2 linked regions of the Xenopus tropicalis genome follow. The protein of the gene in region 2 purifies or fractionates together with the protein of the main gene of each other region. This does not show direct contact. Links are inferred from orthologs where the notes say so. Each region holds a gene or a part of one and is shown on either strand. Other genes may lie near its edges.

Region 1 (3,661 bases), on a different chromosome or scaffold from region 2:
GGGGCCATTCAAATTATCCACAGATGAAATGTAACACTAAATTTTTTTAAGTAAAAAAGCTATTCTACCCTGCAAACCACTTAGTATTTTAAATGCTTTAATAGAAAATACCTGGTAAAACTTGGCTTCCTGTCAATTGAAGTACGGCGATACGGCGAAGGAAGCAGCTGAATCAACTATGTGACGATCGATTGATCGAGCCTAGCCTTCTTTCTGTATAGGAAGGAGTCAGGCTAGGCTTGATCAATCGATCGTCACATAGTGGATGCAGCTCCTTCCTTCGCCGTACTTCAATTGACAGGAAGCCAAGTTTTACCAGGTATTTTCTATTAAAGCATTTAAAATACTAAGTGGTTTGCAGGATAGGACAGTTATTGGTGCAGGGTAGAATAGCTTTTTTAGTGTTACTTTTCCTTTAAGAATGATAAATCAACACACATCTTTGTAAATGTGATCTGGGTGTGATGGGATGTTAGACTGTCAACTTCTGCATTCTGGTACGCAAGTGGGTCTAAAGAACCCTTAAAGCAATACTGTCATGGAAAAACATGTTTTACTTCAAAACGCATCAGTTAATAGAGCTTCTCCAGCAGAACCATGCATTGAAATTCATTTTTCAAAAATGCAAACAGGTTTTTTAAAATTTTATTTTGAAAAATTCACATGGGTATAGCCAAATTCTTCATTTCCCAGGGTGCTACAGCCATGTGACCTGTGCTCTAACTTCAGTCACTGCTGCGCTGCAAGTTAAGGTGGCCATACACTGGCCAATTCTAGCGGTCCTTTAAACCGACATGGCAGCTTTTGCGCCCGTGTATGGGAACAGATGGGCTCGCTAGACCAACATATAGCTTGAAATCAGCCAGATCTCAACCGGACAGGTTTGATTTTTCAGTCGAATTGGGGACCGCATTGGCTTGTTGATTCACCAAACCTACTGCTCCTATACCCACCGTTCTAATTCAATCGTCTGGCCCCTAAATTCAAAATCTTAATACTAAAAATGCAGCCAAAAAACTCCATCTTTGCCTAAGTTTTTTTTCTAATTTGTGCGGTCTCAGGATTTGTTTGTTGGTCATCCACCTGCCTACCAACAATTGTACAGCATAATTAATTTCTCAAGTTTGAATAATATTTTCAATGTGGCAAAATTCCTAAACCAGCTTGATGACCATTTCTTCCTAGGGATTAAATAGGGCCATCATTATCATTAACAGGAAAGTAAACTAAAAAGCTAAACAATCCAAAAACAAAGAAAAAAAATAACGATCCACATCGCATTAATATTATGGTGAAGCTATCTTAAAATGGAAATGTGCAAAATGATATACAGTGGTGTGAAAAACTATTTGCCCCCTTCCTGATTTCTTATTCTTTTGCATGTTTGTCACACAAAATGTTTCTGATCATCAAACACATTTAACTATTAGTCAAAGATAACACAAGTAAACACAAAATGCAGTTTTTAAATGAGGGTTTTTATTATTTAGGGAGAAAAATAATCCAAACCTACATGGCCCTGTGTGAAAAAGTAATTGCCCCCTGAACCTAATAACTGGTTGGGCCACCCTTAGCAGCAATAACTGCAATCAAGCATTTGCGATAACTTGCAACGAGTCCTTTACAGCGCTCTGGAGGAATTTTGGCCCACTCATCTTTGCAGAATTGTTGTAAGTCAGCTTTATTCGAGGGTTTTCTAGCATGAACCGCCTTTTTAAGGTCATGCCACAACATCTCAATAGGATTCAGGTCAGGACTTTGACTAGGCCACTCCAAAGTCTTCATTTTGTTTTTCTTCAGCCATTCAGAGGTGGATTTGCTGGTGTGTTTTGGGTCATTGTCCTGCTGCAGCACCCAAGATCGCTTCAGCTTGAGTTGACGAACAGATGGCCGGACATTCTCCTTCAGGATTTTTTGGTAGACAGTAGAATTCATGGTTCCATCTATCACAGCAAGCCTTCCAGGTCCTGAAGCAGCAAAACAACCCCAGACCATCACACTACCACCACCATATTTTACTGTTGGTATGATGTTCTTTTTCTGAAATGCTGTGTTACTTTTACGCCAGATGTAACAGGACACGCACCTTCCAAAAAGTTCAACTTTTGTCTCGTCGGTCCACAAGGTATTTTCCCAAAAGTCTTGGCAATCATTGAGATGTTTTTTAGCAAAATTGAGACGAGCCATAATGTTCTTTTTGCTTAAAAGTGGTTTGCGCCTTGGAAATCTGCCATGCAGGCCGTTTTTGCCCAGTCTCTTTCTTATGGTGGAGTCGTGAACACTGACCTTAATTGAGGCAAGAGAGGCCTGCAGTTCTTTAGATGTTGTCCTGGGGTCTTTTGTGGCCTCTCGGATGAGTTGTCTCTGCGCTCTTGGGGTAATTTTGGTCGGCCGGCCACTCCTGGGAAGGTTTACCACTGTTCCATGTTTTTGCCATTTGTGGATAATGGCTCTCACTGTGGTTCGCTGGAGTCCCAAAGCTTTAGAAATGGCTTTATAACCTTTACCAGACTGATAGATCTCAATTACTTTTGTTCTCATTTGTTCCTGAATTTCTTTGGATCTTGGCATGATGTCTAGCTTTTGAGGTGCTTTTGGGCTACTTCTCTGTGTCAGGTAGCTCCTATTTAAGTGATTTCTTGATTGAAACAGGTGTGGCAGTAATCAGGCCTGGGGGTGACTACAGAAATTGATATTGAAATTGAAAATTGAAATTGATAAACCACAGTTAAGTTATTTTTTAACAAGGGGGCAATTACTTTTTCACATAGGGCCATGTAGATTTGGAGTTTTTTTTCTCCCTTAATAACGTGAACCTTCATTTAAAAACTGCATTTTGTGTTCAATTATGTTATCTTTGACTAATAGTTAACGGTTTTTGATGAGCAGAAACATTTAAGTGTGACAAACATGCAAAAGAATAAGAAATCAGAAAGGGGGCAAATAGTTTTTCACACCACTGTATACACGTAAAAGTGGTCTCTGCATCATTTGTTGTTAGTACAGGTATGGGATCCCTTATCCGGAAACCCATTATCCAGAAAGCTCAGAATTACGGAAAGCCCATCTCCCATTGACTCTATTTTAATAAAATAATTCAGAATTCTAAAACCGATTTCCTTTTTCTCTGTAGAAATAAAACAGTACCTTGTAATTGATCCCAACTAAGATATAAATAATCCTTATTGGATGCAAAACAATCCTATTGGGTTTAATTAATGTTTTATTGGTTTCTTAGTTGACAAGGTATGGAGATCTAAATTATGGAAAGACCCCTAAATCTGGAATACCCCTGGTCCCGAACATTCTGGATAACGGGTCCTATATAGGAATACGAATAAGCAAAGATGTCAATTTTTAATTGTCAAGTACACCAACCTGAAACTGTGACTGTGGATCCAGGGTCTATGGTGCCACTGTTTGGTCGCACACAATAACGCCGAGGTGCTGTAGTTTTGACTTTAAAACATACTTTTTTATCTGATGGGTTCCGTAGTTTTAGGTTTGTTGTTACCACATCTGTAAATGGACCTGCAAAAAAAAAAAAAAAAAAAAAGTGCAACAAAATTAGCAATTGTGCTATCAATGTATTGCTTTATAAGCCATGCACTTATTTATATTACCCAAAAACATACAAATAATACTGTATAAGTCACAAACA
Region 2 (3,661 bases):
ACTAGCTTTAGGAAAGCTTTGCAGATTGGTACTTTGGTGTAGAAAGGACTCTTTACCCATGTTAGATTTTTCAGAATGTGTACTTTCCAAAAATATAGAGTTTTTAGGGGTCACCCTACATTTCTGCAGCTTCTACCCCTCATAAAACTTCCATGTGTTTATAAATTAGGTAAAGGTAAGCCATAAAATTAGTGTGCACAAGGTATATTTGGGGGTCTCTAAGTGCCATGTGCTTTGATAAACCTATGTACAGTGGGCATCAAACTGTTCAGTGGACCCCTGGTGTTCATTTTTAGGGTGTTTTATCTTGGTACTTAATGCTATGTGGGAGATAAGATGCTGGAAACTGGAAGCTTTGAGTGGATTTTTGGAAATGTTATCAAAATTGCCAACTTTAGGAAAGCTTTGCTGCTTGGTACTTTGGAGTAGAAAGACATGGGTACCCATTTTAGATTCGGGGGAATGTGTACTTTCCAAAAATATATGACTTTCTGGGGTGAATGTACTTTTTACTAGCATTATCCCACATATAATTATGTAAATGTGTTGATTTTGCAGAAGCTGAAATGACAGAAATGATAGATCATATGGGGGTATGTTCACATTGGGGCCCCTACATGCCACATACTTAGGTAAACCTATACATATTGTGTATCAAACTGTTCAGTGGACCCCTGGCGTTCATATTTAGGGTGTTTTATTTGGTTACTTTATGACCTTTAGGAGATAAGATACTATAGACTGGAAGCTTTGAAGCGATTTTTAAAAAATTTCACAAATTTTGATAAAAACCAATAAATTTAGGAAAGCATTGCAACTTGATAGTTTGGAGTAGACAGACAGCTGTGCCTATTCTGGATTCCCCAGAATCTGTTCTGGGATGAACTTTGTTAGCGGAATTTTTGGCCTTAAAATCTTAAGTATGCAGCTTTCTGGAGCAGTGCTTTGGAAATCTGGTAGTGTACTGCTGGAGGTTTTTGACCTATACAAGTGAGAAATCTCCATAAAACTATATATATTTGGTATTGGCACGTTCAGGAGACATGGGACTTTCCAAATCAGGTGTATTTTCATGCATAAAATAATTTTTGTTTCTGGTATATGTGTTTATATTATGGAAAATATTTTTTTTCATTTTTTTAGACATTTAGAAGCCTATATCTTGTTACAAAATTGGAATTACACAAAAATTCTACCATATTTTAAAAGCTTAGGTTGTCCTGAAAAAACGATATATTGTTTTGTCCAAAACAGCTGGCAGTGAAAGGGTTAAAATACCAAGAAACCTTAAAGGGGCGGTTCACCTTATGTTATAGAATGCCCCATTCCCTAGCAAGTTTGCAATAGATCTTCATTATACTTTGTAGGTTTTGCCTTATTTGCCTTCCACTTCTACATCTTTTCAGATTTCAAACTGGGGTCACTGACTCCAGCAGCCAAAACACTATTGCTCCGAGACAATTTTACTATTGTTACTTTTTAATCCATATCCTTCATTTATACACTCTCCTATTTTTATTCCAGTCTCTTATTCAAGCCACTGCCTGGTTGCTAAGGTAAACAAGACCCTAGCAACCTGAGCACAAAGCCTGCAGCCAACTTACCATACAGGCTTCTCTGGCTGGATTAGCAGATGGATCCTTTTCCAGAACAGATTTATAGTCTGCCAGAGCTTCATCTAATTTATCAGTCTTCTCGTACAACTCTGCTCTTCTCAGCAATGCACGGATGTAGTCAGGATTAAGCTCTATTGCTGAAATTATACAGGAAAAGGCAGGGCCTAAGGTTACCTCAGTTCAGTTAGTTCATTTCTATTAAAGGCAAAGAACACCTCCCACCCCCTTCTTTGAGATGAGTTCATTCAGTCTCAAGTGCCAAAAAGAAATATACATATATTGCTTCAACATTCAGCAGATTTGGTGGGGGAGCCATGATAGTCTGCCTCTGACTTGCAGTGACTAAATTCTCAGCTCCACCTTAGGCCAAAGCTCCAGATAAGGCCAAATTTGATTTGGATGGTAAACTTTGATTGTCCTGTAGTTAATTTTCAACCTTATGCACATAATTAGTGACACCTTCATACAATTAAGAAACAATACTGAAAAAAAAAAAGTGTGGAAGTTAAATTTTACATATTAATATTTTCTTTTGGAATAATGAAACAGTCAGCCACGCTTTTTCTTAAAGGATACGTTACCTTTTTATTTTAAAATCCACAAAGAGACTCTAAATAGCTCCTGGAATAACATAACTTTCTCCCTGAATTCATAATCACGTTTGTTTCTAAATCATAAGCTAAAAACTGCAGCTCATTTCAGCTACTTTGTTGTCTAGTGTGAAGCTAAACCTCCTTTTCTTTACTGCCTCCTGCTCCAATGGAATTCAAATCAATCAGGCATGTGCAGCAGGCACCTCTATAACTATCTTCATACTCAAACAGAGAAAAAGAGCTCAGAAAAGGGGGCAGGGATCTACACTAGACTAGGTAGTAGCAGAAACTAACTGAAGTTTTCAGTTTGCGATTTAGAAATGACTTTAATGCAGGTAATGTTTTTCTGGGCACTATTGAGGACCATGGCCCATGGGGAGATTAGTCGCCTGCGGTTAATCCTGGCTGCAGCAGGCGACTAATCCTAAAATGCCTTCTCACCAGCGATTCACTTTTTTCACTTTTTCAGGTTCCTTCTGCAGGAAATGCTTTGCAACTGGGAAACCAGAAACAAAAAGTTTACATATTCTTTGAGTTTATTTCAAAACCTGGCAGACACTAAAGGAAACCTGTACCTTTTGAGCAGTCTTCTAATGCAAGATCATTCATGTTCTGTAAGAGAGAAACATATCAATGTCATTAGAAAAAGGGCATATTAAACATTAGACAGTAAATATTTTAGATAATATGCATATGTTGTCACACTAAAGCAAAGTAAAACCAGGTTTTGATCTTTAGCTCCAAAGGGATCACCAAAGCATTCTATATAGCGCTCTTTCCAGTTTTTCCCTAAAGAATGACTATAGTTTTCAAAGATTTTTTTCAGCATTTGATCCTGGGAAAGGTCTATACTTGCCCAGTATTTTTTTCCAGGCATTTATCCCTGAGGGAAATGTACCACTGCATTAAAGAAATGAGTTCTAGTAAACAGTCAGTGGTGAAATGAAGATAATAAATTTCACTTAGTTTAGTGTGGCCTAACTTGTTGCCATTGGTTCCTGGTGTGAAATAGATTCCCCACTAGGGAAAATAAACCAGCTTCGAGTACACAAATGGTGTAAAATCATTGCTATTATTTAATGTATAGGTCTTTTAGTGTATGCGATAATTAAAAAATGCCCTCATACATCTACCTGTCTCATTCTAGCAGCAGCCCTGTTCGAGAAAAGGATGGCGAGATCCTGGGAATAAAATGCCGGACACGTCTGAAGTGCTTGAGTGTATACAGTTTCAGCAGCAGGGTATTCTGGGACACAAAGCAGAGAGTATAATTACCTATATGCAGCTCAATTCTTATGCAGGTATCAGGTCTTTATAGAGGTGGTTTGCATTTAAATTAACTTTACGAATGTTATAGAATATTCCTTTCCTAGCAACTTTGCAATAAGTCATCATTTTTTTTTTTTTTTAATAGTTTTTTTTAATTGTTTGCCTTCCTCTGCTACATAATTC

The links. The genes of interacting proteins can lie anywhere in the genome.
Region 1: the proteins of ttc1 (region 2) and vapa purify together in Homo sapiens (affinity purification with mass spectrometry; 5 studies listed by BioGRID and IntAct, counting the BioPlex papers as one, with this or other methods). This does not show direct contact. The link is inferred for Xenopus tropicalis from reciprocal best matches to the Homo sapiens genes TTC1 and VAPA.

Annotation. Positions count from the first base shown.
Region 1 is NC_030682.2:104,685,085-104,688,745, reverse strand, and holds part of vapa (vesicle-associated membrane protein-associated protein A), read right to left. Parts: intron 3,532-3,661; coding exon 3,379-3,531; intron 1-3,378. UniProt on the Homo sapiens protein: Endoplasmic reticulum (ER)-anchored protein that mediates the formation of contact sites between the ER and endosomes via interaction with FFAT motif-containing proteins such as STARD3 or WDR44.
Region 2 is NC_030679.2:16,155,424-16,159,084, forward strand, and holds part of ttc1 (tetratricopeptide repeat protein 1), read right to left. Parts: intron 3,456-3,661; coding exon 3,343-3,455; intron 2,822-3,342; coding exon 2,785-2,821; intron 1,754-2,784; coding exon 1,605-1,753; intron 1-1,604.